Linked DNA regions of Sus scrofa. The main gene of each other region encodes a partner of the protein of the gene in region 4 in a complex. Links are inferred from orthologs where the notes say so. Each region holds a gene or a part of one and is shown on either strand. Other genes may lie near its edges.

Region 1 (4,077 bases), on a different chromosome or scaffold from region 4:
TACTGATGTCTGCCCTGGGTTCAGAATTGAAAAATTGTAGTGGGTCACATATTTATCATCTTTAGGCTAAATGTCCCAACCCCACTTCCTGAATTATAATTTCTTTTTATTTTTTATTAATGATTTTTATTTTTTCCATTTTAGTTGGTTTACAGTGTTCTGTCAATTCTTACTGTACAGCAAAGTGACACACACACACATATATACATTCTTTTTCTCACATTATCCTCCATCATGTTCCATCACAAGTGACTAGATATAGTTCCCCATGCTGTAAAGCAGGATTTCATGGCTTATCCACTCCAAATTCAGTAGTTTGCATCTATTAACCCCAGACTCCCAGTCCATCCCTCTCCCTCCCCTGAATCAGAATTTCTGAGGTCAGAGCCCAGGGACTTATATTTTTAACAAGCTGCATAGCTGATTTTGCTGCCAGCAGCTCAGCTCCGTCCACAGATTGGAGTTTGGGGAAACCACAAGAAGAGATTTCTTTTAGGCGCTTTCGAGCCCTGAGTCCTATGACTCTAGAAGAGTCTGGAAAGGCAAGTTGGGGCGGAATTGGGCAGAGCCTCAAAGGCCCAGAAGTTTGAGTATCACTGAAGAATGGTTAGGAGGAAGAATGCTCTCAGAGCAGACGGTGGGGAAGGCATGCTGGACTCAGACTGTTTGGCCCCGAACCAGCCTGACTGGCCCCCGACCACCCCGCCTCCCACAGAACCGCCACGAGATGCTGGCCGTGGAACCCATCAATGAACTGCTGCGGGACAAGTGGCGCAAGTTCGGGGCAGTTTCCTTCTACATCAATGTGGTCTCCTATCTGTGTGCCATGGTCATCTTTACCCTCACCGCTTACTACCAGCCTCTGGAGGGCACGGTGAGTGACCATGCACCAGGCAGGAGCTGGGGTGTAGCTGGGTCCCCTGTGGGAGGGACTGGAGAGGGCTTAGGAACAGGATGGTGGGTGCTCTGTACATCCAGGGGAAGAGAATGAGGGAAGAGGTGCCATAGGACCCAGATGGTTGGGGTCTTGGGGAACATCTGGACCTGGGGCCAGGTGTTAGAAGGGCTGGGTGAGGACTCGCACGCCCCCTGTCCCCCAGCCACCATACCCTTACCACACCACGGTGGACTACCTGAGGCTGGCCGGTGAGATCATCACACTCTTCACTGGGGTCCTGTTCTTTTTCACCAACGTGAGTGCTTGGCCCCCCACCCTACACACCTGCCCGCCCCCCTCCTTCTCTTCCTCCACCTCTTTTAGCTCCTCTCTCCTCCCCTTGGCACTCCTGCTGGCTCCATCTCTCTCATGCCCCCGCCTCCAGATCAAAGACTTGTTCATGAAGAAATGCCCTGGAGTGAATTCTCTCTTCATTGATGGCTCCTTCCAGTTACTCTAGTGAGTAGAGGTCCCCAGACTGGTGGCTTCTGGGTGAGGAAGGTGGGCTTGGGCAGGGACACTGCTCAGGTTTGGTGGTGGTGGGAGTGGCTCTGCTGGAGTGAATTCACCCAGCCTGAACATCTGCAGCCCAAAGTCAAGACAAGGTCACTATCAAGCAAAAGGATCTACTGGGTAAAGCAAGATTCTGGTTGCTAGAGAGTTATCACCATGCACACCACAGATAAAAATAATCTAACCTCCTTTGCTTGTGATTCATTGCTAATGTCTGCCAGGAGTGCCCATGTTAAGAATCTTGAGGCTGTGTCTGTGTTTAATGGGAGCGAGTGCTGGGATTGATTAATGATGTCTGCCTAGGGCACAGGATGAGTTGCTGCATGTGTGTTATATCTTTTCCCGTATCCTTAGAGAACAATGAAATTCCCTTAGCCACAAAATCTCCACTGAATCCCACTGAATCTTTCTCTAGCAATTCTGAATCACATCACTTTGGGATCTGGGAGGGCCTCAGGGCCATTACACACACATCAGCTGCCAATTAATTGGGTGTTCTGGTTAACAGAATGCTGGAGAACCCGGTGAATCCATGTGGTTTCTCTGCTGCGGGTCATCGGGATGTCCTGGTACCTAGAGGGCTCAAGGGCATGCCTCCCCCTCCAGGACCTCATTGTCCCCTTTCCCCTCTGGCGGTCTCCACTGCCCTGTAGCTTCATCTACTCTGTGCTGGTGATTGTCTCCGCGGGCCTCTACCTGGCGGGGATTGAGGCCTACCTGGCCGTCATGGTCTTTGCCTTGGTCCTGGGCTGGATGAATGCCCTGTACTTCACCCGTGGGCTGAAGCTGACAGGGACCTATAGCATCATGATCCAGAAGGTAAGGAGCAGGGCACCCACTGGACACACATATGCAGACAGTGCCAGGGCCCTGAGGACATGGGGGCACCGTGGTGGCCGCAGGCAGGGCCTGGACATCGGCGGGGTGTGGGTAGGGGGAACAAAGTGGATCTGGAGGGAAGACTTGAGATGAGGAGTGGGGCAAGTGAGAAACCACATGTCTCATCTTTGCCTCCGTATCCCCGCCGGGGCCTTTAGATCCTCTTCAAAGATCTTTTCCGTTTCCTGCTGGTCTACTTGCTCTTCATGATCGGCTACGCTTCAGGTGAGCTCTGGGTGCCTGGGTGAGCCTGGCAGGGGCGGTACCAGGGCTGGATCAGCCACCATAAAGCGTGTGTTTGTAGACTCCTCACTGGGTGCCCGTCCCTGCTTCATTCAATTCCCCCAGTAAGTCTGTAAGGTAAGTGTCTTTATTACCACCTTTTACAGATAAGGAAACTGAGCTTTAGGAAGGTTAAATGTGAATTCCTGCTGTGGTGCAACAGGACTGGTGTTGCCAGGTTGCAGGTTTGATCCCCTGCATGGCACAGAGGGTTAAAGGATCTGGCATTGCTGCAGCTGCAGTGTAGGTTGCAATGGCGGCTTAGATCTGACCGCTGGTTCAGGAACTCCATAGGCCACAGGGCAGCCAAAAATGAAAAGAAAAAGAAAGGTTAAATAACTTGTCCAAATGCAAAAGCATGGATGTGATAAAACTGGCATATTAGCTATGGTTGCAAAAGGAGCACCCAAAACTTAGTGGCTTAAAACAACCATTTATCATTACTCTCAAAGCTGTGGGTCAGCTGGGTGCTTGTGGTCACCCGGGCCAGATTTGGCTAATCTTTTTTTGGAGGGGCTGTTCCTGCAGCATGCAGAAGTTCCCAGGCCAGGGATCAAACTGAGCCACAGCAATGGCAATGCTAGATCCTTAACCATTAGCCTACCAGGGAACTCCATATTTGGCTAATCCTGATGGGCTCCCGTGTCTGTGCTCCGCTGGCAGGTTGGCTACCAGCTGACTAGTGTAGCTAGGGTGGCCTCTGTTGGGTTGACTTTACTATCTTCCCCAGGGTCACTCATTTCCAGCCAGCTAGCTGGAACTTGGTCAGTGGTGGTCTGAGGTTCCCAGAATGTGAGCAGAAGTGTTCAAGGTCTCTGCCTGGCCCGGCATCGCTTCTGGCTCACCCTCTTGGCCAAAGCAAGTTTCAAGGCCCGCCTTGATTCAAAGCATGGGGAAATAGACTCTATCCTCTTGGTGGAAGGAGCTACAAAGCCACATTGAAGGGGTGTGGATATGAGGGAGGGCACATTTTAATCATTAATCGAGCAGCCTGGGCTGCTCAGCACTGGCTCCTTCCTTGATGTCACGATGCCTTGGGACCTTAGTGACACAGGTCATTGGGGAAAGATTAGGGATGGGGAAATTAATCAAGGGGTTGGGCTGGCCTGGTGATCTGCCATCCAGTGACCAGTATCCAAAAGGGAGTGGCCAACCCAGGCTTCACCAGGCTGCAGTCACATCTGAGGAGGTTGGTCTGGGAATCAGCACTGGCAGCAGGAGTCTGATGGTGGTGATATTTTGACCCTGATAATGCCAAGGCTCTGTGTGGATTATTTTGGAGAAGAACTGTGGCCTTAGCTTAGCTGGGGAGAGAGGGACATGGTCTAACTGCCCCTCCAAGGAGTAGGCCTCGAAAGGACTCGCCCTAGTGCAGTGGTTTGGGAGTAGGGTCAAGTCTGGCCTTACTGCAGTCCTAAATATAGAAACTGAAGCAGAAGGTTAGGTGAAAGTAGCAACTTAGTAGT
Region 2 (4,077 bases), on a different chromosome or scaffold from region 4:
TTTTTTTTTTAGGGCCACAGGTGTGGCTTATGGAAGTTCCCAGGCTAGGGGTCGAATGAGAACTGCAGCTGCCGGCCTACGCCACAGCCACAGCAACACCAGATCTGAGCTGCGTCTGCAACCTCCACCACAGTTCACAACACAGATCCTTAACCCACTGAATGGGACCAGGGATTGAACCTGATTCCCCATGGATCCCAGTTGGGTTCGTTTCCACTGAGCTACAACAGGAACTCTGACAATAGTTAATGAATGAAAATAAAAACTGGTAAGAACAGTCTGTTTCCCTGTAATACATGTCAAATTTTTGTTGTTGCTGTTCTTTTCTAGAGCCACACTCGCAGCATATGGAGGTTCCCAGGCTAGGGGTCTAATCGGAGCTGTAGCCACCAGCCTACGCCACAGCCACAGCAATGCAGGATCCGAGCCGCGTCTGTGAACTACATCACAGCTCACAGCAATGCCGGATCCTTAACCCACTGAGGGAGGCCAGAGATTGAACCCACATCCTCATCATTCCTAGTCAGATTCGTTAACCACTGAGCCACGACTGGAACTCCCATGTCAAATATTTTCTTCAGTACCTTACAAATCAAGATCATCAGTAAGAAAAGTAATTTTTTTTCATACTGGATTTATTTTCAGATTTATTTTATCTATGACACTAAATATAAATTTTTCACTGAGACTGAGTATTAAATACGTTGAGATTTAAAGCATGTATTAAAAACTGGTCCAGATTTTTTCTGTGTGTATAGTAAATACATATGTTAAAACACTTAAAACATCAAATACCTACAGTCACATGGAAGAAACATGCTACTCAATGGAAGACTGGAAACGTAAAAAGAGTTAAACTAACAAATTGAAAAATGAGTTATTTGTCCATATAAAACATACTACATGTCAAAGATATTAAAAATGCTATCTGTATGCTATAGTAATTCTATTCAAAGAAAAATATGTTTGAACCGGAGTTCCTGTTGTGGCTCAGTGGTTAATGAACCCGACTAGCATCCATGAGGACTCGGGTTTGATCCCTGACCTCACTCAGTGGGTTAAGGATCAGGCGTTGCCACGGGCTGTGGTGTAGGCAGCTCCGATTGGACTCCTAGCCTGGGAACCTTCATATGCCATAAGTGTGGCCCTAAAAAGACAAAAAAAAAAAAAAAAAAAAAAAAAAAAATGTGTTTGAACCATCAAAAGCCTAAGTTACTTACAGAGTAAATGTAGTACTGAATGTTAGAGCATCCCCATTAAGAGAATTTGAAGTACTTGCTAATGGTGTGGCTACCATGTTTTCAGCTCCTGCTTTTAGTATAATTAAGAAATAATAATTTGCAGCATCTGCAAGAAATAATCACATTACATAATAAGCATAAGCAAAATCAGGTTGAGATAATCAGCATTCTGGAAGACCAAATGAATAAATTAACACCACATAAAAATTTTTAAAGCCATCTTAATGGACACAAAAAGATAAGACATAAAAACAGAAAGTCATATTCCTGGAATAGCATCATCCAAGGTCCCTTCCTATTATGTGAAATGAAATTACTCTGCATCCCTCAGTTTCTGCTGACTTCTACTTTTACCTATTGACCCCAATTCTTTAGCTAATAGTATATATCTCAAAAGGGTAAATTATGACTTGCTATTTCCAAACTGAGATTAAAATAAATTATTTCTTCACTATCTGTTATTAAATAGCCACGTATCTCAAGGTATACATGAAATTACCAATAGATTTCTCCCTATACCCCACCAAAATCAGACAACAGCTAGAATTAGAATTTAAATTACCTCATTTCTGCAACAAATGTTCAAACATTAAAGATCTCCAGTCTTTACTTTCCCTGTACCTCAGATTCTCATCTAGCCCTCTACTCCCTCAGAGAGAATGTTCCAGGCAAAAATGTGAAGCCATCTTTAAAAAAATTATCCAAGATTTAATTTTATTAAGCCTGCTATAATTATCCTGCCCTGTTTTCAGATCCTGGTGCCATAACTTCCTTAACTCACTTTAAATGCTTAAATGTGATTTTAAGAAGAGTACACAGTTTAGAAAAGTTTGCTTTTTCAATCTAGAGCGACAAAGGGAATAAAATTTCAATAGAAAATTATCTACATTATGTTGCTCTTCACTCCCACAAACAGTAATTCGGGATTCACAGAACAAATTTCTTTAATGAAGTGAATTTTAAATTAAATAGAGTAAATAAAACAAGTTTTAGATGCCCAATACTTTCCACTATAAAATTAATGCAGTCAAATGGTCTGCTGTGTCAGAATAACTCATCTTAGTAATTTATCTTATGTTCATATAATTAATTTATAATATGTTCATAATTTAATTATGCAATATTATATTTAACTTAGGCTTACTTTCAATTAGAGCCATGTCTGTTGCTGAGGGATCAGTAAGGCGATATATGAAATTCTTCCTTGGTTATTTTTATACTTTTTTTTTTTTTTTTTTGTCTTTTTAGGGCCAAACCTGCAACATATGGAAGTTCCCAGGCAGGCTAGGGGTCAAATTAGAGCTGCGGCTGCCGGCATACATCACAGCCACAGCAACACAGGATCTGAGCCACATCTGCGACCTACACCACAGCTCATGGCAATGCCGGATTCGTAACCCATTGAGCCAGGTCAGGGATCGAACCTGTGTCCTCATGGATGCTAGTCAGGTTTGTTTCCGCTGAGCCACGATGGGAACTCCCTATACACATATCTTCATAAAAGGAACTAAAGGCCCAAGATACAAACCTTGTATCTTTATGCTCTACTTGTTCCCATTTATACAATTCTAATCTAGATGAGATTTGTAATCCGACATATGATCTAGAAGTGAATAAATAAAAATCACCATACCTGGTTTCTGAATTGTACTGCAGACAAAATCTGCTTTTAGAGGCAAGCGGATTTCTGACAAAGTAATTGATCCTTTAGAAGGGACAAATTCACTTTGGGATGTGGGACTAGCCTTATTCTTCCTCTGAGGCCCTTCATTCTTCAATTTATTCAACTCATCAATCAAAAGTGTTCTCTTCTCAGCTATGAAGAAATATGCAAGTTAACATTTCAAATATTAAAACTGCAATTGTTTCTAAATGAAGCCAATTCAAGGCAATGCACTGATATGGCAATTGTATCTAAGACCAAAGAGGAAATCAGTAACTTCCTTCAGACAAACAGGTGGTAGGTAGTTAGGAAAAATCCTCATTGCTTATCTGTTCACCAAATCCTTAAAATTTAACTACACAGGAAAACTGACCAAAAGTTGAGGTGTTAATCTCTCCATCCTAACATACCCTGTCTTTCATCACCACACACATATGTATACAAGAAAATTCACCTAACTTTTTTTAGCTATACATATATATATAGGTACAGGGATAGAGTGGGGGAGATGTATAAATATATTCGTATATTCACTCTTAACATACTCTTTGCAACTACTTTTTTTTTTTTTTTTTTGGTCTTTTCTAGGGCTGCACCTGTGGCATATGGAGGTTCCCAGGCTAGGGGTCTAATCAGAGCTGTAGCCACCGGCCTACGCCAGAGCCACAGCAACGCAGGATCCGAGCCCAGTCTGCGACCTACACCACAGCTCACGGCAACGCCGGGCCCTTAACCCACTGATCGAACCCGCAACCTCATGGTTCCTAGTCGGATTCATTAACCACTGAGCTACGACGGGAACTCCTGCAACTACATTTCTTAAAAAATGCATTCCAGGTTCTTTCCCCCTTTCATACAAACTATATGTTATTTTACATGCGGTATTTTCACAAACTTTATTACAAACAAAAAATAGGTCAGCTGAAACATTATCAAAAAAGCCCTTTCTCTAAAATTAGAAATTCCTGAACCTATTAGATAAAATGAGATTTTCCTGCTTTGAAACTGTTTATCAATATACATACTTGCAATTAGAAGAAGTCTTTCTGCTTCAGCTTCTTCTAAAGAACCTTTTCCATGCTCTTCATCAACACAACAGTTAAGAGCCTGGCTAGCTTGATAGATCACTGTCTGTTGCAAATTTATTTCATTATTGAGTTCCTAGTGAAACCA
Region 3 (4,077 bases), on a different chromosome or scaffold from region 4:
TCTTTCTCCTCCCGGCCCTCCCGGGTGGGTTCTCTCAGCTGGGGCAAAGCTTCCTGGGCAGATGGAGGTGAGGGCCATGGTGACTCTGTCCCACCCACCCCCTCCAGATGCCCCCCAGTCCCCCGGTGCAGGTGGCCCAACCTGCTCAGCCACCAACCTGAGCCTCGTGGCTGGCTTGGAGAAGCAGCTGGCCATCGAGCTGAAGGTGAAGCAGGGGGCGGAAAACATGATCCAGACGTACAGCAACGGCAGCACCAAGGTGGGGGCAGCACGAGTGAACACACCCCTGTGTGCACATACGCCTGGAGCACATCACACAGTGAGGGGGTTTGGGGGGGTACCTACATGTCCCCCATGGGAGGTTTGGGCCCTCTGGGTTGGGAACAGAGGGACTGATGAATGACTGAGTGGCAGAACTGGGGTGCAGGCAGCTCATGGTGGTATGTGGGAAACAGAGTGACTGGGTGATGTCAGACAGACACACAGCAGTTAGCCCTGGAGACCCAGCAGCCTCTGTGGACAGGGCAACATGCAGCCTCTCACTGCTACTGGCATCTCTCTGACATGTGCACGTGCAGGTCAACACCTGGAGTCACACACACCATTATAACATCTAGAGACACAGCAGTAACAACACTTGGACACATGGAGGATGACTACCACAGGGCTCTCTGGACACGTAGAGACATACCATCATAATAACCCCAGGACACACAGTACAGGCCAACAGACGTCTAGACACACAGACACGCACACCATTAAATTCACACCCAGAGAGCAGAGTTGTCACACAGTCATTCCCCCCAGCTATACCAACACCAAGAACACAGTCACAGGTCTGCACCCACACCCAGAGATACACCCACAAGCACAGCCAGACCTATAGCTAGAGACCCGGGAGAGCACCCATACCTGTGTGCACACACAAAGGTGAATATTACGTGGGAGGGCACAGACCATGCCAGATTTTTTTTTTTTTAAACCTTTTATTGAGGTGTAACAAAGGGATGTGTAGTATATTTTTTTTCTTTTTTGGCCACCCCAAGGCATATGGAGTTCCCTGGTCAGGGAACTTGGACCCACCTACGTGACTCCTGTCAGGGCTACACCCACCACGGGGAACACTGAGCCACACGTATGCCTTTCTGACAGCTGACACAAATACAGTGCCTGCTGGTGCCAGGCACAGCACTGAGCCCTACATACAGATTAGCTCCTTTAATCCTCAGCCGAGTGGTGGTTGCAATCCAATTAGCAATCCCAGTCCTGTAGATGACGAAACAGGCCCAGAGAGGTTGAGTGGCTTGCCCAAAGTCACACAGATAGCAGTCTTAGGTAGCAGAGCCAGGATTCAAATGCCATGGGTTACTCAGGGCCTGCACTGGTGTGGACAGAAGAGCTGCTGGTCAGTCTCCCATCTGGCCAGCCTTCCTCTCACGGCCCATCTCTGCCTCTAGGACCGGAAGCTGCTGCTGACGGCCCAACAGATGCTGCAGGACAGTAAGACCAAGATTGACATCATCCGCATGCAGCTCCGCCGGGCACTGCAGGCCTGCCAGCTGGAGAGCCAGGCGGCCCCGGATGAGGCCCAAGGTGAGTCCGTTGCCCTGATACAGCTTAGCCTGCATCCTATCTTGTAGAGTTCTGCTCCCAGTCACATAGGGGGTTCCTTTCTGGGGCAGGGAGGTGAGTGCTCTGACTCATCATGTGACTGGAACCCATTCTTGACCCTCTCTGGGCCTCAGTTTCTCATTTTGTCCCACTCAAAGTTTCCACTTGATCAAGTGTTAGCAAACCAAAGCTCTTGGGCCAGATCTGCTACTGCCTTTTTGTAAATAAAGTTTTATTGGCACCCAGCCACACCCATTCATTTACTGTCACCTAAGGCTGCTTTGGCATTGACAGCAGAGCCAAGTAGTGGCAACAAAGACTATGTGGTCTGCAAAGCCAAAAATATTTACCCTGTGACTCTTACGGAAAAGATGGGCAGACCGCTGGACTAGGTGGTTGCCTTGTCATGTTGGCCCCTGTGGTGTCCTCAGTGTGTGTGTTTCTGTGAGTGTTTCAGTGTATGAATCTCTCGGGGTGGGAGGGGTCTCAACCTGATTGTCAGCCTGAATTTGTGACGGAGTCTTGATGTATGCATGGGCTACTGATGTGTGTCAGTATTAATGTGATATTAGCCATGGGGACCAGGGGTTGTATGGATGCTCTGTAACTATGATAATTTGCCTGTCACCATGAGAAATAGAGAAGTGTCAACTGTTGGTGAGTGATAGTGCATTTGGGCTGCTATAATATACCACAGTACCACAGATAGGGGAGGGGGCTTTTAAACAACAGACATTTATTTCTCACAGTTCTGAGGGCTGGGAAGTCCAAGATCAAGGCGCTGGCAGATCCAGTGTCTGGTGAGAGCCCTCTCCCACATTCACAGACAGATGCCTTCTTACTGTGTCTTCACTTTGGAAAGGGCCGGGGAGCTCTCTGGGGCCCTTTTTATAAGGACACTGATCCCATTTATGCAGGCAAAGTCCCCATGACCTAGTCATCTCCCAAGGGCACCAAGGTCACCACCTCCAAAGACATCACACTGGAGGTTGGGTTTCAACATATGAAGTTTGCAGGGAAACATGCAGTCCATAGCAGTTGGACCTGTAACACGGATGACAATGTATGTGTCTTTGTAGTGCGGAGGTGTGTGTGGTTGTTTGTATGAACTCTGAATGCCTACGTGAATTTCTCAGTGTCAGTGTGCGATGGTATGATCATGTCCCTGTGCCTCTGGGTGACACTGTAACCTTTGGTGGCAGCTTGCTTTTGTCCCTGCAAGTATAAAAGTCTTGGTAACTGGGCACATGTGACAGCAGTCCTGGTGAGTGCCACACACCTGTGGGTGACTGTGACTCTCTGAGTGCCAGAGTCTGAGTCTGGGTCATTATGCAGGACAATGAGACTGTCCTTGGAATCTACAGCCGTGGATAAGGGTGACTTTGACCTCATGTCCCTAGGTGACAGGTTTCCCATACCTGTGTGACAGTGTCTATCCCTGTGCCATTGGATAACTGTGGCTGTGTCCCCAGGACTTTGCCCTGAATATGGTAGCCAGCCTGTTTCCCTGTGACTGGGTCTCTGTTTCTATGAGTATTGCTGATGCTACCTTGCCTGTGTGACAATGTGGCAGCATTTCTTTACCTGTCCCTATGCCTGATCCACATGGCAGTGTGGTTGTGTTCCTGTGATTCTCCTTGGGTTGAAATTAGAACCCTGGGAGTTTTGCCACCATGTGACTGTGTCCTATGAGGGTGTTTATGTTTTGTGACTGTTTTTCTCTGCCCTTGTGACCGTGTCCCTTTGCTTGAGGTTGACAAGGCACATATCTATGTAATATCAGCCTCAATCCTGTGACAGTGTCCCTGTGTAGCAGCGTGATAGCATCTTTGTGAGAGTGTGTGTTCATCTGCCTGTGGGTATGTGTAACAGTGCCTACACTGGTGAGAAAGTGATAATGCCAGTGTCACCCTGTGAGTGACAGCATAACAATGTCTGTGTGATGTTGTCCCTGTTCCCCTAATTGCATTATATTTCATGATGTGGGTAGTTACCATTCACTTATCCAGACCCCTACTGGAGGAAATGGGGTTGTTTCTAGTCTTTTGGTCTTGAAGGCTTTGAATAACCATGAACATATGTCAAGTGCAGAGGTGTTTCTATGGGATACAATCCCTGAACTGGGATTGCTGAATCAAGGGGTAAGTACATTAGTGTTTCTGATAGAAATGGCCAAACTGCCGCCATCAGAAAGCAACTTGTATTCCCATCAGCAATGAATAAAAGTTACTTTTTTTTTTCTTACATGTCCCTGTATCTGTGTCATTATATCCTTGTGGCTATCCAGTTGCTGTGGTGTCCCTGTGATAATCCATGGGGATAAAGAGGACCTGAAAATGTATGTGTCCCTAAGTCAATGTTAAGTGTACCTTGTATATATGACTGTCCCTGTGTGACAGCTCAACTACATCCTGGGACTGTCCCTGAGGGTGATGGTGTCTGGATAAAAGAGTGACAGCATCTGAG
Region 4 (4,077 bases):
AAGGTAAAAGCAATCCAAGTATCTCTCAGATGAATGAATGAATCAGATGGTGGTATATACATGCAATGAAATATTATTGTCTTAAAAAGAAAGGAAATTGACACATGCTAAGTGAAGAAACCTCAAAGACACTATGCTGAGTGAAACATTAAAACAGTTAATTTTACTCTGGGTTTTGTTTTGTTTTTTTAATTTTGTCTTTTTGTCTTTTCTACAGCCGTACCCTGGGCATGTGGAGGTTCCTAGGCTAGGGGTCCAGTCACAGCTGCATCCACTGGCCTATGCCACAGCTGTGGCAACTCGGGATCCAAGCCACGTTTGTGACCTACACCACAGCTCATGGCAACACTGGATCCTTAACCTACTGAGTGAGGCCAGGTATTGAACCCGCAACCTCATGTTTCCTAGTCAGATTCGTTAACCACTGAGCCACGACAAGAACTCCTACTGTTTTTTTAAATTTAAGAACATTCAGCAGTTTTAGCTCCTATGTTTGGGAGTGTAGTCCATCTTGAGCTAGTTTTCATCTGATGTGAGCTCTAATTTCCTTTCTTTGCATGTATCTATTCAGTTGTCAGTTGTCTGAGCACCATTTGTTAAAAACGCTGTTTCTTCCTCCATTGAATTGTCTTGGCATCCTTGTTGAAAATCACTTGACCCTGAATGCAAGGGCTTATTTCTAAACTCTTCAGTTCTACTCAATTGATCTGTGTGTTTTGTTTGTTTGTCTTTTCTAGGGCCGCACCCGCGGCATATGGAAGTTCCCAGGCTAGGGGTCTAATCTAGCGGGATCCAAGCTGCGTCTCTGACGGCAACGCCGGATCCTTAACCCACTGAGCAAGACCAGGGATTGAACTGAAATCTTCATGGTTCCTAGTTGGGCTCATTAACCACTGCTCCACGATGGGAACTCCAATCTATGTGTTTTTTGTTTCGTTTTGTTTTGGGGGAGAGTGTCTCTTTAGGGCCACACTGCAGCATATGGAAATTCTCAGGTTAGAGATCAAAGCAGAGCTACAGCTGCCGGCCTATGCCACAGCCATAGAAATGCAGGATTCGAGCCACATCTGCAACCTGCACAGCAACTCATGGCAACACAGGATCCTAACCCACTAAGCAAGGCCAGGGATTGAACCTGCATGCTCATGGATACTAGTTGGGTTCATTTCCTCTGCGCCACAGCGGCAGCTCATATCTTTTTTTTTATTATTATTATTATTAAAATATAGTTGATTTACAGTGTTGTGCCAGTTTCTGCTGTATATCTGTCTGTCTTTACAACAGTGCAACACTTTCTTGATTACTGTAGCTTTAGAGTAAGTTCTAAGATCAGGAATTGTGAGTCCTGCAACTTTGCTCTTATTCAAGATGGTTTTGGCCATTCTGAGTCCATTGAATTTCCATTCTCTCTTTTTTTTTTTTTTTTTTTTTTTTGGCTGTTCCCCCAGCATGCAGAAGTTCCTGGACCAGGAATCGAACCCAAACCACAGCAGTGACAATGCCATATCCTTAACCTGCTAAGCCACCAGGGAACTCCCTCCATGCATATTTTCTGATCACTTGTCAGTGTCTGCAAAGAAGCTAGCTGGGATTTTGATAGTGATTGTGTTAAATCTGTAGATTAATTTGTAGGATATTCCCATTTAACAGTATTTAAGTTTTCAGAGTATGTTTTGTACTTCTTGTGCTTAGTTTATTCTTATTTTATTCTTTTTGATGTTATTGTAAATAAAATCTTAATTTCATTCTCAATTTGTTCATTGCTAGGGTATAGAAATACAATTGATTTGTTTTGTTTTGTTTTGTTTTTTTAGAGCTGCATTAGTGGCATATGGAGGTTCCCAATCAGAGCTGTAGCCACCGGCCTATACCAGTGCCACAGCAGCGTGGGATCCTAGCCATCTCTGCAAACTGCATCACAGCTCAGGGCAATGCTGGATCCTTAACCCACTGAACAAGGCTAGGGATCAAACCCGCATCCTCCTGGATACTAGTCGGGTTCGTTAACTGCTGAGCCACAATAGGAACTCCGCTTTTTGTGTGATGACTTTGTATCCTGCAACCTTGCTGAATTTATTAGTTCCGATAGTTTTTTAGTGGATCCTTTAGGATTTCCCATGTATAATATCATGTCACCTGCAAATTAAGATAATTTTACTTCTTCTTTTCTGATCTGAATGTCTTTTATTTCATTTTCTTGCCTAATTGCCAGAACTTTTAATATTATGTTGGATGGAAGTGTCAAGAGTGGACATTCTTGGAGTTCCCGTCATGGCTCATTGGTTAACAATCCAACAAGGAACCATGAGGTTGCAGGTTCAGTCCCTGGCCTTGCTCGGTGGGTTAAGGATCTGGCGTTGCTGTGGGCTGTGGTGTAAGTCCCAGGCGTGGTTTGGCTCCTGCGTTGCTGTGGCTCTGGCTGGCGCCTACAGCTCCGATTTGACCCCTAGCCTGGAACCTCCATATGCCATGGGTACAGCCTTAGAAAAGGCAAGAAAAAAAAAGAGTGGACATTCTTGTCTTGTTCCTCATCTTGCAGGACAATTTTTAGTCTTTTCACCATTAAGTATAATGTTAGTTATAGGTTTTTGATATGACTTACTGGTCCTAAGTGGAAAGGTATACTGGTGTTTTATTTTCTTTTTTTTCCCCCCTTTTTCGGCCACCCCGTGTCATATGGAGTTCTCAGGCAATCCAAGCTGGAGTTGGAGTCTACGCCACAGCTGTGGCAACACCATGTCCTTAACCCGTTGCACCAGGCTGGGAATCAAACCTGAGCCCATGAGCAGTAGAGACACTGTCAATCCCATTGAGCCACAGCAGGAACTCCAGCATTTTGTATTTTGATGTGTTAATAAAGGCTTGTGCCACATGGCCAGAAAAGTATTTGTCATGGCCTGAGACTATTATGGCTTCTTGTGCATTCTAGACAACACTTTGATTTTATGTTTCAGCAATGGCTGCCATCAGGAAGAAACTGGTGATTGTTGGTGATGGAGCCTGTGGCAAGACTTGTTTGCTCATTGTCTTTAGCAAGGACCAATTCCCGGAGGTATATGTACCTACCGTGTTTGAAAACTATGTTGCAGATATCGAGGTGGATGGAAAGCAGGTGAGTATACTTTGCATAACAATTGGTACTGTTTTGCATGTTAGGCTATTCATACAGCCTGTAGAGAATTAGGCCTCTTGGGGGGGGGGGCAAGTTGATCCACTTTTAATAATGGAGTCAGAAGAAAAATCTGGTTTTTCCCCCCAAATCCCACTCCCCCCCCCAATTATTTGGGTTAACACATTTCAGAATTTTAAGTAAACAGTTGTTGCAGCTGGGTGAAGGTAGCCCTGTGTCCATCCACCAGGAAGCGCTGTCATTATCTGCACTGCCATCCAGCTCTCAAGGGGGCTATCAGACTCCAGCAGCCTGGGTCTGCTCTGTAACTATTTCAGAGCTCCAATTTGCTCCAGGCGGGTCAAGAGCTCCCCTCTCTAGTGCATACTTACTGGATCAGTGCATGCATCCACCTATACACGCTTTACCAATAAAGACCCAAGGTACTGTTCTGGCTCCCTTGAGCTGTTGGAGATGATCTTGAATCTCGTTGGTGTCACTGGTAGCTGTGATATCGACAAATTCCAGAAGCCCTTCTTTGAAGGGCAATTGGCTGAGGAGCTCCTGGGTCTTTCTGCAGAAGGGACAGGTGGGCTTGATGAGAACTACCGCCATATTCATATGTATTTCACATTGGGAAGCCTTAGAATATGTGTTCTTTCCAGCCTTATTCATATTTGAAATTTAGTGTATTGCCAAATGGATAATACTAAAATGAACATCCTTGTATGGATGGACTTTTTTCCCCCATCATAGTATTTCATTAAATGCTGAAGTATGAGATTACTAGGTCTGTGGGTCCTTATTGATTATGCTTCTCAAAGGGTTATACTCATTTATACCAGCATCCTCACATTTCGTTTTTTAAGTTTTTGGGGTTTTGTTTTTTGTTTTTTGTTTTTTTTTGCTTTAAGATAAAACAGGCTGCTACAGTTGCTTCAGTTACCTGTCATTGGCAGTGAGGACAG
Region 5 (4,077 bases), on a different chromosome or scaffold from region 4:
GTATAGGCCAGCAGCTGTAGCTCCAATTTGACCCCTAGACCAGGGACTTCCATATGCTGTGGATGCAGCCCTAAAAAGACAAAAAAAAAAAAAAAAGAATTAAAAAAAATTATACTTATGCAATGTAAATGCCATGTAAATAATTGTAAACACAATGTTAATGCAAAGTAAATAGTTTACAGCATGTGGCAAATTCAAGTTTTGCTTTTTGGAACTTTCTGTTTTTTGTTGTTGTTTTTTTTTTCCAAATATTTTCTATCCTTGGTTGGTTGAATCTGAGGATGCAGAACCTGTGCACATGGAGGGCTGACTGAACTCAGGCTGAGCAATCTTTATATCCTTTCTCAGTCGATAATCTTATGATTATCTTGTTAGAGGATGATTGCGTTTCAGGGTACCAGGTGCCCAGTTTCATCCTACGAATAATAAGTTCATCTCCAAATCTGAGAAATGGGGGGTCCACTGAAAGAACCAGTTGTAACAAATAGGGGAACAGGGGCCTTTTAATGAGAGAGGAACAGAGATACCCACATCGACACAGAGACACAGACACAGAAAGGATGGAACAGAGAGTCTCACAGCACGACAGAGGCAGGATACCAAGAGTAGAGGACAGAGCATACAGACCCGGGGAAGCAGACAGAGGGGTACAGACACCAGATCCAGATTTGGTCAGATGGAGTCAGAGAGATGCCTGGGGACAGAGAGACCCAACAGCTGGGAGAACAGAAGAGGCACAGAGTGGTGGCTGGATAGGCAAAGGATCAGGGGAAGGGGAGGAAGGTGGTAGCTTCCATGGGGAGTTGTCTGTCCGTACCACACAGGAGGGTTGGCCTCCTCGGTGCTGCAGTTCCAAAAAGGGGTCCAGTTCCTCTTGGCTCCACTGTAAGGGGTCCTTCTGGGGGCCTTCGCATCCCGATGCCTGAGGTTTGTTCCTGAAACGCACATTGCCATCACTGGCCTCTGAATCCAGCGGCCTGTGACGGGCACCAGGGAGGAACACCGCCTCAGCCCAGCCCTGCTGCTTGCCCCCAGCCCAGCCCTTCCTGTTGGCTCAGGCACAGCCTAGACCCAAACTGGCCTCCCTTCTGGGACTGGGCTTTGGCAAAGCTGTGATGCTGACTGTAGGCAAGGGTGGCCCCTGCTGGTCAAAAGATAGTACTGCCGTCAGAAGAAAGCCAGCATTGTGGGGTGGGCAAGGGCAAGCTGGATTCCCACTCCTTGCCTAGTTTCTGATGCCAATCTTGGCCCCTACTCAGACAAATAGTGTCCCCAGGGTTCCGTTCCTTCTTTACCTAAAAGGGTATAATTAGGGCCTCTAGTGAAAGATGACACCTGGAAGATGCTGAGATACAGCCGGCACTGTGTAAGGGGTACTCAGGGCATCTCTGCCTTTGACCAGCTGCTCTTAGGAAGGTGTGGTGAGTCCTGCGGACAAAGGCTTCTCACCCAGGTTCCCACCTAAGCCACTTCAGGGACAAGAATCCTCTCCCATCACACAGCCCAGCCAGCCCTGCCCAGGAGCTAGAAAAGCTTGGTCTACTCACCAGCATTAAGACAACTTGTCCAAGGGGACCATTGCCAAAGCAGAGAGACAGGGCCCTTCCACGGCTAGCAGGCCCTCTCAGCGACCACTCACACTGAACTCTTCACACTGAGCCCCGGACCTTCTCTTTCTGACTTCCTCTGTCTTTGGGGAAGTGGTCAGCCAGGGATTTTCCAGGAGAGGGGAAGAGCTGGGTCCCTCTCTTCTGGTCTGCCAAGCACATGCAAACCCCTGCACAAGAGCAGCTCTTCCACCATTGCAGGGCCATTCTATGATGTCCAAACATCATGGACCCGCAGGCAGGCAGAAATTTGGGAAAGTGCCAGGTTCAACACTCCAACTCTTTCAAGAAACCTCCCAAAGTTCGCTGGGGCTGTTTCCTCATGTGTGAAATGAGGAGATTGTGCCATACGATCTCCAAGCCCCTTTCAGCTCTAACACTACTATATGTGGAAAGGCGCCACACCTCTCCTGCTCCATTTTCACACACCTTCCTTTGAGACCAGGTAGAAAGGAGGAGCTAGGACCACTAGGGAGGGCCACATTTTGCTTATTTTTTGGGGGGTGGGCTGTACCTGTGGCATATGGAGGTTCCCAGGCCAGGGGTCCAATCGGAGCTACAGCTGCCAGCCTACACCACAGCCACAGAGACACCAGCTCCGAGCCATGTCTGCGACTTACACCACAGCTCACGGCAACGCCGAATCCTTAACCCACTGAGCAAGGCCAGGGATCGAACCTACAACCTCATGGATACTAGTCGGATCCACTTCTGCTGCACCACAATGGGAAGTCTGAAGGCCATATTTTGAAAGGCAGGGTCCATCCTCCCTGGATGGACCAGGGAGGCCCACAACAGGCCTGGGTTCAGATTCTCCAGGGGAGAGACTAGGGGCCCAAGTCACTTCAACTCCTATTGTGCTTTCCAACCCTTTCTCCTAGGTCAAGGACTTGAGGGAAGGAGGGACAGGAGGTCCTCCAGTGGTTTACCTGCTCAGTGAATCCTGGAGCTCCCTGCCTGGTCCCCAACTATGTCTTTTGAAGGGGTCGTAGTTGTGGCTGTGGGCACGGAAAGCCCCCGACCTTCGGAGGGGTACGTCATGGAAACCATCTCCCTCCTTCTTTTTTTCCTCCTCTGCCTCCTCTTCCTCTTCCTCTTCCTCCAGCTGCTCTCTGGACTCTACCACAGACAGGCAACGGCGAGTGTGGCCTTGGGGCACTAGGTCTCCACCTGCGAGGAACACTTCTGGGACGTCTCTGTTCATGGGAGGTACACACAGTCCAGTCTGAATCAAGAAGACAGAGAAGGGTGAGCAGAGTTCTAGAATTCTGGAAACTTGGAACCAGAAAAGTGTCACAGTCAGCCAGGCTGAGATAATCTAGTCACCTCTCCCTAGATCTAGTCACTGAGGCGCAGAACTGGAGGATGGCTGGCTCAAGATCGCACCAGGAATCAGCTGCAGAGCCAAGTCTAGAAGTTTTTTTTTTTTTTTTTCAGGCCCGCACCTGCGGCATATCGAGGTTTCCAGGCTAAGGGCCAAATCCGAGCTGTAGCTGCTGGCCTACACCACAGCAACAGCCACGCCAGTTCTGAGCCACATCTGCTACCTACACCACAGCTCATGGCAACACCAGATCCTTAACCCACTGAGCAAGGCCAGGGATCGAATCCACATCTTCATGGATACTAGTCGGATTTGTTTCTGCTGAGCCACAACCAGAGCTCCCAAAACTTGGGTTTTCTGACTCCCAGTCTAGTGTTCTTTCCAGTACATAATGACATCCTCATTCACTCATTATTATTCCAGTTAAGGGCACCTACATGGCAGAAAAAAAGCCAAGCAAAGAGAAACTGATATTGTTCTTACGCTCAAGGAATTCATTCAAGTGAGTGTGTGTGCACATGTGCGTGTGTGCACATAGATAAAAACACAAATCACAAACGACTGGTCAGAGTTTGCCAAAAGCCACAAGAGATTTCAAAAAAATCCTTCATAGGAGTTGTCTTGTGGCTCAGCAGGTTAAGGATCCAGCGTTGTGCAGCTCAGGTGGCTGCTGTGGCGCAGGTTCGATCCCTGGACTGGGAACTTCTGCATGCCATGAGTGCAGCCAAAAAAGAAAAAGAAGAAAAAAAAGGCTTTGTGCTCCTAAAAGAATGGTGCATATAACCAGTTGGAGAATTCAAAAAAAAAGGAAACAGGAGGAAGTAAATAGCCTTTGAGGTGGGCCTGGAAGGGTGGAGTGGTTAGGACTTGGCCACGCTGGAAGGGGAGGAGTCTAGGCAGATAAAGCACCAGGAAGAAAAGGTGCCTGACTGAGAAAGTATTATGATTTCTTCCTTCTAAGACTCCGGTCATCTGGGAAGTCAGAGAGTCATTCTGACCTCTCCCCATGGAGCAAAGAGAAGGCCTCCAACATCAGCCACATTGAAATTCCTTCTCTCTCTCCCAGTGGGCATGGTTCTCACTGCTCGATACTCTTGGCTGCCATCAGGGCTTGCCTCAGTGTGTCTGAGTCAAAACTCTCAGGAG
Region 6 (4,077 bases), on a different chromosome or scaffold from region 4:
AAAACATATCTTAATGTGGAGAGTTTCTGACTATGTGGGTTGCTACATACATGGCATGAGCCTCAGGTGGGTTAAGACTAAGCTTTGTTAGAGCACTTGAATTCCTTAAAACTTAGTTTCTTTAACAATGGAGGTTGGCTTCATTCAGTTTAATGGTAATTAAACACTTTTTGGAATGTCTGGCACATAAAAAGCGCTTAAAAGAGTTTCCCTTGTGGCTCATGTAACGAACCCAACTAGTATCCAGTGAGGAAACGGGTTCAATCCCTGGCCTCACTCAGTGGGTTAAGGAACAGGGACAGTTGTGGTGTAGGTCACAGACACAGCTCTGATCCCATGTTGCTATGGCATAGGCAGGAAGCTGCAGCTTCAATTCGACCCCTGTAGCCTGAGAACTTCCGTATGCCACAGGTGCAGCCCTAAAAAGACAAAGAAACAACAACAACAAAAAAACCACAGCACTTAAATACTGGCCTTAATTAACATGGCAGAAAAGAGCACTCGGATATGATTTCTGGACCATTTGTAAAGTGAAGAATATGTACTAGATGGTCTCCAGCTAATTAATATCTTTATCACTGTATATTGTAATTATTGTTTATACTACCAAGAAAATACCTAATAAATTTCTATCAGGAGATTTAAAACTTTTTTATCTTAATTATCATGTTGGAAAAATAAAGATTTCCTTTAATGATTGTATGACTTGAACTTTCTTCTCACTTGGTAGCTCGAATTACATCTTTACAAGAGGAGGTGAAGCATCTCAAACATAATCTTGAAAGAGTGGAAGGAGAAAGAAAAGATGCTCAAGACATGCTTAATCATTCAGAAAAGGTAAATGATTTAACATACCAACTATGAGATCACATTTACTGGTCATCATATATTATAAGGTGGTTTTATGAAGAGCATTCACTCTTAATCTTTATATATTTGCATTTCTAAAAGTTTTTATGATTGGCTGGTATTTGGAGATCTACGTGAGTCTTATTTTGGTCTTTTTATTCTGTTATTTGTTTTTTCCCTTGAGGGGTATTAGATATCTGATACTATCTGATCATCACAGTTTGCTTTGGTTTGGAGGTGCCTCTTCATATAGAATTTTTTCCCCATATTTTTGTACATGGATAAGATGAAGATCCTGAACCTTGCTGGTTAGGAAGAAGGAAAATAAAAGATCGGTGTATAGTAGACCATGTGTACTTTTTCCATTTTGTTGTTAAGAGTTAGCAAAATAGGAGTTCCTGTTGTGGCGCAGTGGTTAATGAATCCAACTAGGAACCATGAGGTTGCGGGTTCGATCCCTGGCCTTGCTCAGTGGGTTAAGGACCCAGTGTTGCCATGAGCTGTGGTGTAGGTTGCAGACGCAGCTCAGATCCTGCATTGCTGTGGCTCTGGCATAGGCCGGTGGCTATGGCTCCAATTAGACCCCTAGCCTGGGAACCTCCATATGCTGCAGGAGTGGCCCTAGAAAAGGAAAAAAAAAAAAAAAAAGTTAGCAAAATAGTAGAGCATAAAGTAGTTGTCCTTTACGTTTAGAATTTTCTTAATTACAAATCCTTTGTTCCTTCCTTGCTAAGACAATGATTAAATAGATAACATGCAGATTTAGTATACCTCCCTGAAATGTTGTAGGTTTTGTAGATCCTCAGGTAAATGATCAAAAATCCCACCATTTAACTTATCCTTTGGACATGTTTTATGACATTCAGATTAGCTTTTTGATGTCTAAGTCTGGTATAAATATGGAAATGGGATGAAAAATGAGGAGTAGAAGCACCCAAACAGGAATGGAATATATTTTGACTTATTCTTTTATCGGAGCAAGGTAAATTTAAATATAGATGCAAATATAAATAGAGGTGATTTAATTTTTTTAAGGTAACAAAATGTTTAAATGAACTGAAGAAATGTCCTGTTCATTTCTGATCCTCGCAATAAAACCTCCTCAGCAAAACCCTGTCCTACCATGAGCCATGGCTAGTGATTCAGATGGAAAGAAGTGGAGGGGTAAAGAAAAGTGACATTTTGCTTTTAATTATATATGCTTATTGTGACTTTTAAAGTAAGACAGTATAAATAGCGTGAAATACACAAGAAAGAATAATGTAAAATTATGTGCTGAATAAAAATATTTAAGTAAATATGGTATCACATTTCAGGCCAATGTGATTTATATGTTATCTCTTATGAGATATTAATGAATGTAAGGTTTAATGATGTGCCTTTTGTACAGCATATCACATGACTCTCCTTCTCATTTTACAGGAAAAGAATAATTTAGAAATAGATTTAAACTATAAGCTTAAATCATTACAGCAACGGTTAGAACAAGAGGTAAATGAACATAAAGTAACCAAAGCTCGTTTAACTGACAAACATCAATCTATTGAAGAAGCAAAGTCTGTTGCAATGTGTGGTAAGTGTCAGTTTTAATATTTTCTACATGATTGGTTTTTAAATAATGCCAACCAAAAATTTATTCTGTTTAAAATTTCATTTTTATAGCAGTTCAAACTCTTAGAAATTGTAAACGTGGATCTGGGAAAAGGGTGCTTTCCTTTTATTCTTTTTTGAGATCTTTCATTTTTAAAAATCATAGTTTCCCTTACTCTACTAGTTCCCTTACTCTACTACTCTCTACTTCCTATAAAAGTCAGTGGATTCTCTTTTCTCATAGTTTTTCAGCCTGTTCCTTTATTTTCTTCAAGATCTAGTCTGGAATTCATTGTCTGTTAATTCACCTGTTTTCTTGCTTTGTACCCTCAACTCCCTCATTCCTTTGTATTTCTGCTGTATTATGCCTCTGAATACAACCCTAGATCAGACTAGCCAGCCACTTGCATCACTTCAAATAGTTCTTCAGATGGATGTTAGCCTAGTGTATTGTCTCCAGCCTCAGCTGAGCTGTCTTTTTTAATGTAAATCACTCATCATTTTCTTCTTCCAAACTTCTCTTTCTCTCCTTGCTTCCTATGGCATTTATCATTCGCTTTTAGGTGAACATTCTCCTGTTTTAAAAAATTGCGAAAGCAAAGATGTGAACTTCTCAGAAGCTAATTCTCTAACTTAGCCTGTCCTACCACATTGCCCATCTTCATTATCTTCCCTCTCATCTTAGAGGAGGGTGATTCTCTTCCTGTCCTCACTAAGAGGTTCTAGCTGTACTCGGATCCAGTCTCTTATCTGAACTTATTATTTCTTTTTCTTTTCTTACTTCTCAACCTTTTTTTCTCCTCTACTGAATCTTTAGTTGTTGTAAACATGCACAAGTGTCTCCCATCTTAAAAACAAAATAAGGCAAGCCTTATAGCAACCTGTGATCCTTACTGATTGCCACTCTTTTATTCCATCCTTTTATAACCAAATTCCTAAAAAGATGTCTTCCTTTCCTTCACTTCTACTCAATTTTTAACCTACTGTAACTTGGAAGTATCATCTGGCACCTTAAATTCAGTTTATTTAAAGGAAAACTTGTGATCTTATGTGTCTTATCTGTTCTTACCCCTGCTCTTACTGTCTTGGTTAATGGCTATTTAGGTTTCTGAGCTCAGGTTTGTAATCCAACAAATATGCTTTGCCTCTTAGCCACCCTATGACTATTTAAAAAAAAAACTAGATTGGAAAATGCATTTAAAATGCCTCTACATGGAAAGCTCAGTAAATGGAGATACTATCATGGTTATGGATAATGGTGGTGTTCAATATCCAGGAGCCCAAGCCAGAAATCTGGGAATTATTCAAGAAACTCCATTCTGATGGTTTCTATTTTGTCACCTAGAGGACAGTCTGAAAGTGAGGAAGCAGATTTATTAAGTTTGAATCCTGATGATGCAACTTAGGAGTTGCAAGATCCTAGAAAATTAACCTCCAGGGATTTCCCTTCGTTGCTCAGTGGAAACGACCGACTAGCATCCATGAGGCAGGTTGGATCCCTGGCCTGCCTCAGTGGGTTAAGAATCCAGCATTGGCTGTGACTGCGGTGTAGGCCGGTGGTTACAGCTCCGATTGGACCCCTAGCCTGGGAACCTCCATATGCCTCGGGTGTGGCCCTTAAAAAAAAAAAAGAGAGAG
Region 7 (4,077 bases), on a different chromosome or scaffold from region 4:
CTAGCTAAAAGGAAGGGGCGCGTGGCAAATGCAGCCTCTGGCTTGCTATCTGTTTCAGCCTCTGAAGTTAGGGAGGAAGAGGCTCCTCCCTGTGTCCACCTAGAACTCAATTAGAAGGGTCGGGCTGACACTGAGGCAAGAGGAAAGACGGTGAGACAGCGGAGATAATACCTTGGGACCTGATTCAGGGGAACCTATTTAAAAGAGGTAAGTGGGAACAGCAATTAATATCTGTGTGCTCGCTATGGGCCAAGGGCTATTTACATGTATACTATTTATACCCAAATAATCCATTACATCTCCATTTAATGAAACGGAGGCTGCATTCTTTTAAATACAAGCCATTAGAAGCAGGGTGCCTATGCTGTCAATAACAATCCCATGTAATTCTGTGGTGCCTACAATCTCAGAACAGGCTCTGGCAGCTTTTTTGCTTCCATCCCTGGTGTCATCGGGGTGATCAGCGCCATCTGATCGCTAGGGAAACTAAGGCCCAGAAAGATTCAGGGCTCAGCTGAAGGTTGGAGGGTTGTTTTCAAAGACGAAATATGTCCTCTCCGTGGGACCTCTCATCAAATGCCAGATTCCTATTGGCAGCTGCCTACTCGGTTCTCCACTTTGATGTCTAAAAGAGATCTGAGATTTTGACACGTCTGAAACCGAGGCCCTGATTTTCTACCACAGGATCGCTTCTCACACAGCTGTACCTAACTCAACGGATGGCAGCTTCGTCCTTTTAGTCATTTAGGTAAAAAACGTGGAGTTTTTTTCCTTTTCCTTGGTTTTTCTTTCTCTCACATCCTATACATCAATTGTTAGGAAATCCTCCCGTTGGCCCTCCTGTCAAAACATACCTGGAACTCCTTTCACAGCCCCAGGGGCAATGCTCCCATGCCAGCCCTACCGGGGGACTTCCTGTAACTGACCTCCCTGCCTGGAACCCTCCTTTGCTCTCCCACCACTCTCAAGTTGCTCCCGGCTCCAACGGTTCCTCATTCACTGGGAGGAAAGAAACTTACAACTGTCCACAGCTTCTGGGAGGCCGCCTCTCCTGTCGCCCCTCTGACTTCTGCACTCAAACATGTCAAGCATGTCGCTCCTCTGCCCTGGCTGTTCCCTCTGCCTGGGATGCTCTTCCTCCAAGATGTTTCCGAGGATGCCCATGCCCCCTTTCCGAGGATGCCCATGCCCCCTACATGTAAACGTCTGGATGAGGCGCTATTTGAAGGTGCAATCCCCTGGCTCAGATGCTCCTGGGCCCCCTTGGCCTGCTCTGTTCCCTGATCCCCAACCCTCATTTTCTAATGTACTCTGCAATTTACCTGCATAATACACACTGCTTTTTCTTCCCACAATAGCACAAGCTCCACAAACATTGTTTCTCTACTAATGCATCCCAGGAGCCTAGAACAGTGCTTAGCACCATCGGAGACTCCATAAAAACTTGCTGGCTTGAAGTATCAGCATTAGTAGAGGCTACAGAGATTGTCTAGCCCAAGATCTGTCATTTTATAGATGAGACCGAGGGGGATGCAATGGCTTGATCAAGGTTACACAATTACTGAGTGGAGAAGCAGTACTGGGGTGAAAATCTACCTCTAAGCCTGGAAGTGTCCCCACAAAGTCAACCCAGGCACCTGAAACACTTTAGAAAATAGGGCTGGAAAGAGGCATTCACAGCAGCTGTGCCAGGAGTTCCTTCGTAAGTTTAGTTTGGTTAGTCTTCCGATATGATTAGTTAAAAACGGTCTGATTCCTGTAAGCCAGTTCTGCCTGCCTCCTGAAGGAACTTTACCCCCTGGAGAATCACTGCATGGCTCTTGTACTCAGTGTCAGATGCGATCTTAGCGGCAGGAAGGGGCCAGAAAGCTCACTGCGATGCTGAGGCCCGAGGTTTGTTATAACCACCAAACTGCCCTCAGAAGCTCCAGGCTCCACAATTCCCTTGAAACTCCCACAGACCCGGCCTGAGAAATGGAGCAGGAGGGCAGGATTCTCCCCAGCTTTCGGGGGAAGAAGGATCAGGCAAGAAGTGGCAGAGGGGGAGGGACTAGGAAATAGACCCACAAACTGTGTCAAACTGTTGGGCATGTTCAGGGGTGGGAGTGGAACCGGAGACTCACAAAATGTCTCCTAGGGCAGCCAGCTGCTTCTCCGCCACCTGGCGCTCGCGGAGAGGGTCCCCATCCAGGTCCAGCAGGTCGTTTTCACCATACAGGCTGCCCAGCCCCAGCGTGCGCTTTGTTCTGAGCCAGAGAGCGAAAGAAACAAACGTATACCAACGTCTGACAGAGAGGTGCACAGACACACACACCATACACACACACCAACACACACACCACACACAAACACACACACACACACACACACACACACACACACACACACACACACACGAGACACATACCCCGCAGGTCAAGAACAAGGGTGAGGAGGCAGAGGGGAGAGCGGGGCGGGGGGCACCGGGCACCTGTAGTCCTGGATCTGCTCCTGGATGTCGGGCATGGCGGCCTCCTGAGCCTCGCAGAGAACAGCGCGCACATCCTCGCCGCTCCGCAGGCGCAGGTCTGTGGTGGGAGCCCAGACAGGAAGGGGAGGGATGTCGGGAGAAGGAGGTCACATCTGCTGAGCATCTCAAAGCCTCTTAGCTGCCTGTGGCACCGGGGGCAGAGGCTGGCTTTCTGCCCTCCTGTCAGCCAAGGGAAGTGGAGGCCTGGACCTACCAGGTCATTCCTGAATTCAGGACTGGAATTCTGACATCCAAGTCCCAAGGCAAGGACAAAATCGTTTCCGGGATGTTCCACACTCCATTGAGTGGAGAACTATTAAATCCCCTCTCTGCCTGTGTCCAGACACTGCCCTCTGACATTAAATGCACACCTCTGCAAGGCTCATCCTCATTCCACCGCCCCAGGGTCAGCTCACAAGGCTGCAAAAGGCAAGCACTGCACAGGAAACCCAACTTCCCACCAGAAACTGGAAGGTGTCTCTCCTGTCCTTGCACCTGGCTTCACTCAGCTGAGGCTACGTCTCCGGGAGTGGCTGGCCACCCTCTGCTCTGCTTTGGAGCAAGTTCTCTTTACCCTCTGTCTGTGCCCATTAGCTTTCCTATCATCCAGGCCTTTAAAGGACCTCTTTTTGAAGGCAGCTTTGAACCAAGACCCTCTAGAAAGCTCCTGTGATTAGCCTCTCAGGTTGGCACCCTTCCTTGGCTCTTCCACTCATGATTTGACAACGAGAAGGGAACAGAGCAATCACCTAGCTCACTGGCTCCCCACCCAGCACAGGTTTAGGAACACACACCACCAAAAACACAAGAGCAGAAACACTCCAGAGAGTCTGACTCTGCGGGTGGGGTGGGGTGGGGGAGGCCCTGGTTTTGGTAATTCTAAGACAGAAGCCCCCAAGGGATCCTGATGATGACCAGGCTTAGGAATCCAATTTCCTCTTTGTACAGATGACCCAACCCAGGCCCACAGAGGTCAGGTGCAAGGTTGGCAGAAGTGACCCTGGTCTCCTGACCAACTCGTGCCCTGCCGTGACAGGCTTGATCAGGCAGAGTAGCTCCCAGTGGTTGTGCTTGTCCATGAGCTACTTTGAGGAGCTCTGGAGGAAAGGTCCCCATATCCCCTATTAGAGAACAGCTGCCCAAGGTAGAGACTATGTCCCTTCCATCCCTGAAGCCACCTCTGAAGAAGAGACTAGATGACCAAGGAGCCAACTTACCAATCTCAGCCTGTAACATCTCCGGGACCTTCACTCTCAGAGGCTGAAAAACAGAAGAGGGGGCAGAGTGGTGAGGTCCACACACCCCAGGGCATGGTGGGAATCGTGCGGGGGCAAGGAGGGCTCTGGGCACTACCTCTCCTCCCCCTTTCCCTACACGACCCCACCTCCGCTCACCCATCTCCACTGAACTCTAGCTAGGGATTCTGAGAACTGGCATCGGAGGCTACGAGGCAAGCTGGGACTGTATATTCTGAGGGTGGTACCTGCAGTTTTCCTGCTCTTATTTCAAGGATCTCAGGCTGTACTGAATGGAAAGGTTCCAAAAAGTGGAGGGGGGGACAATTTAGC

The links.
Region 1: the proteins of RHOA (region 4) and TRPV4 are in contact, whole or in part, in a cryo-EM structure (PDB 9IQX), measured with the Homo sapiens proteins. The link is inferred for Sus scrofa from reciprocal best matches to the Homo sapiens genes RHOA and TRPV4. Residues at the interface, in NP_001300870.1 of Homo sapiens: Met1, Ala2, Ala3, Arg5, Tyr34, Pro36, Val38, Phe39, Glu40, Asn41, Tyr42, Val43, Glu54, Trp58, Glu64, Asp65, Arg68, Leu69, Leu72, Pro75, Asp76; in NP_067638.3 of Homo sapiens: Lys177, Arg179, Thr181, Glu183, Glu184, Arg186, Pro188, Arg224, Glu225, Asn228, Ser229, Pro230, Arg232, Arg237, Asp263, His265, Ala266, Gln267, Arg269, Asp313, Arg315, Arg316.
Region 2: the proteins of RHOA (region 4) and ANLN are in contact, whole or in part, in a crystal structure (PDB 4XOI), measured with the Homo sapiens proteins. The link is inferred for Sus scrofa from reciprocal best matches to the Homo sapiens genes RHOA and ANLN. Residues at the interface, in NP_001300870.1 of Homo sapiens: Tyr34, Val35, Pro36, Thr37, Val38, Phe39, Glu40, Asn41, Trp58, Asp65, Tyr66, Arg68, Leu69, Pro71, Leu72, Pro75, Asp76; in NP_061155.2 of Homo sapiens: Met729, Thr732, Val733, Tyr735, Gln736, Ala737, Gln739, Ala740, Cys743, Cys744, Glu748, His749, Gly750, Ser753, Glu755, Glu758, Ala759, Leu762.
Region 3: the proteins of RHOA (region 4) and PKN1 are in contact, whole or in part, in a crystal structure (PDB 1CXZ), measured with the Homo sapiens proteins. The link is inferred for Sus scrofa from reciprocal best matches to the Homo sapiens genes RHOA and PKN1. Residues at the interface, in NP_001300870.1 of Homo sapiens: Met1, Ala2, Phe25, Ser26, Lys27, Asp28, Gln29, Val43, Asp45, Ile46, Glu47, Gln52, Glu54, Thr163, Lys164, Arg168, Glu169; in NP_002732.3 of Homo sapiens: Glu40, Arg43, Arg44, Ile46, Arg47, Leu50, Lys51, Lys53, Glu54, Glu57, Asn58, Arg60, Arg61, Leu77, Arg78, Ser81, Leu84, Asp85, His88.
Region 5: the proteins of RHOA (region 4) and ARHGEF2 are in contact, whole or in part, in a crystal structure (PDB 7G9I), measured with the Homo sapiens proteins. The link is inferred for Sus scrofa from reciprocal best matches to the Homo sapiens genes RHOA and ARHGEF2. Residues at the interface, in NP_001300870.1 of Homo sapiens: Arg5, Lys7, Lys27, Gln29, Val33, Tyr34, Val35, Pro36, Thr37, Val38, Phe39, Glu40, Asn41, Tyr42, Val43, Asp45, Glu54, Trp58, Asp59, Ala61, Gly62, Gln63, Tyr66, Asp67, Arg68, Leu69, Leu72, Ser73, Pro75, Asp76; in NP_001155855.1 of Homo sapiens: Asp215, Ser216, Ser218, Leu219, Asp238, Val239, Glu242, Thr246, His249, Cys342, His345, Ser346, Leu349, Lys353, Lys376, Arg377, Gln381, Glu382, Leu385, Leu386, Thr388, Gln389, Ile391, Thr392, Lys393, Leu396, Leu397, Arg400, Lys423, Leu426.
Region 6: the proteins of RHOA (region 4) and ROCK1 are in contact, whole or in part, in a crystal structure (PDB 1S1C), measured with the Homo sapiens proteins. The link is inferred for Sus scrofa from reciprocal best matches to the Homo sapiens genes RHOA and ROCK1. Residues at the interface, in NP_001300870.1 of Homo sapiens: Val38, Phe39, Asp65, Tyr66, Arg68, Leu69, Leu72, Pro75; in NP_005397.1 of Homo sapiens: Lys999, Val1003, Asn1004, Leu1006, Ala1007, Met1010, Asn1011, Arg1012.
Region 7: the proteins of RHOA (region 4) and ARHGEF11 are in contact, whole or in part, in a crystal structure (PDB 1XCG), measured with the Homo sapiens proteins. The link is inferred for Sus scrofa from reciprocal best matches to the Homo sapiens genes RHOA and ARHGEF11. Residues at the interface, in NP_001300870.1 of Homo sapiens: Arg5, Thr19, Val33, Tyr34, Pro36, Thr37, Val38, Glu40, Asn41, Val43, Asp45, Glu54, Ala56, Trp58, Asp59, Ala61, Gly62, Gln63, Tyr66, Asp67, Arg68, Leu69, Arg70, Leu72, Ser73, Pro75, Asp76, Pro96, Glu97, Pro101; in NP_055599.1 of Homo sapiens: Asn715, Gln717, His718, Glu737, Val738, Glu741, Thr745, Ser748, Ser837, Lys844, Arg867, Arg868, Leu869, Gln870, Arg872, Asp873, Ile876, Met879, Gln880, Arg881, Thr883, Lys884, Leu887, Leu888, Ser891, Arg914, Leu917, Lys918, Val920, Asn921.

The regions. Positions count from the first base shown.
Region 1 is NC_010456.5:41,156,724-41,160,800, forward strand, and holds part of TRPV4 (transient receptor potential cation channel subfamily V member 4), read left to right. Parts: intron 1-715; coding exon 716-874; intron 875-1,100; coding exon 1,101-1,193; intron 1,194-1,322; coding exon 1,323-1,396; intron 1,397-2,103; coding exon 2,104-2,269; intron 2,270-2,487; coding exon 2,488-2,554; intron 2,555-4,077. UniProt on the Homo sapiens protein: Non-selective calcium permeant cation channel involved in osmotic sensitivity and mechanosensitivity. Activation by exposure to hypotonicity within the physiological range exhibits an outward rectification.
Region 2 is NC_010460.4:37,672,762-37,676,838, forward strand, and holds part of ANLN (anillin), read right to left. Parts: intron 4,066-4,077; coding exon 3,930-4,065; intron 3,058-3,929; coding exon 2,875-3,057; intron 1,348-2,874; coding exon 1,221-1,347; intron 1-1,220. UniProt on the Homo sapiens protein: Required for cytokinesis. Essential for the structural integrity of the cleavage furrow and for completion of cleavage furrow ingression. Plays a role in bleb assembly during metaphase and anaphase of mitosis.
Region 3 is NC_010444.4:64,814,293-64,818,369, reverse strand, and holds part of PKN1 (serine/threonine-protein kinase N1), read left to right. Parts: intron 1-107; coding exon 108-259; intron 260-1,457; coding exon 1,458-1,593; intron 1,594-4,077. UniProt on the Homo sapiens protein: PKC-related serine/threonine-protein kinase involved in various processes such as regulation of the intermediate filaments of the actin cytoskeleton, cell migration, tumor cell invasion and transcription regulation.
Region 4 is NC_010455.5:31,928,380-31,932,456, reverse strand, and holds part of RHOA (transforming protein RhoA), read left to right. Parts: intron 1-362; exon of another isoform or gene 363-378; intron 379-2,954; 5' UTR 2,955-2,956; coding exon 2,957-3,112; intron 3,113-4,077. UniProt on the Homo sapiens protein: Small GTPase which cycles between an active GTP-bound and an inactive GDP-bound state.
Region 5 is NC_010446.5:94,032,791-94,036,867, reverse strand, and holds part of ARHGEF2 (rho guanine nucleotide exchange factor 2), read right to left. Parts: intron 2,833-4,077; 5' UTR 2,812-2,832; coding exon 2,537-2,811; intron 1,685-2,536; exon of another isoform or gene 1,554-1,684; coding exon of another isoform or gene 1,548-1,553; intron 936-1,547; coding exon 818-935; intron 1-817. UniProt on the Homo sapiens protein: Activates Rho-GTPases by promoting the exchange of GDP for GTP.
Region 6 is NC_010448.4:106,203,313-106,207,389, reverse strand, and holds part of ROCK1 (rho-associated protein kinase 1), read left to right. Parts: intron 1-730; coding exon 731-837; intron 838-2,271; coding exon 2,272-2,422; intron 2,423-4,077. UniProt on the Homo sapiens protein: Protein kinase which is a key regulator of the actin cytoskeleton and cell polarity.
Region 7 is NC_010446.5:93,132,453-93,136,529, reverse strand, and holds part of ARHGEF11 (rho guanine nucleotide exchange factor 11), read right to left. Parts: intron 3,770-4,077; coding exon 3,727-3,769; intron 2,568-3,726; coding exon 2,471-2,567; intron 2,247-2,470; coding exon 2,124-2,246; intron 1-2,123. UniProt on the Homo sapiens protein: May play a role in the regulation of RhoA GTPase by guanine nucleotide-binding alpha-12 (GNA12) and alpha-13 (GNA13). Acts as guanine nucleotide exchange factor (GEF) for RhoA GTPase and may act as GTPase-activating protein (GAP) for GNA12 and GNA13.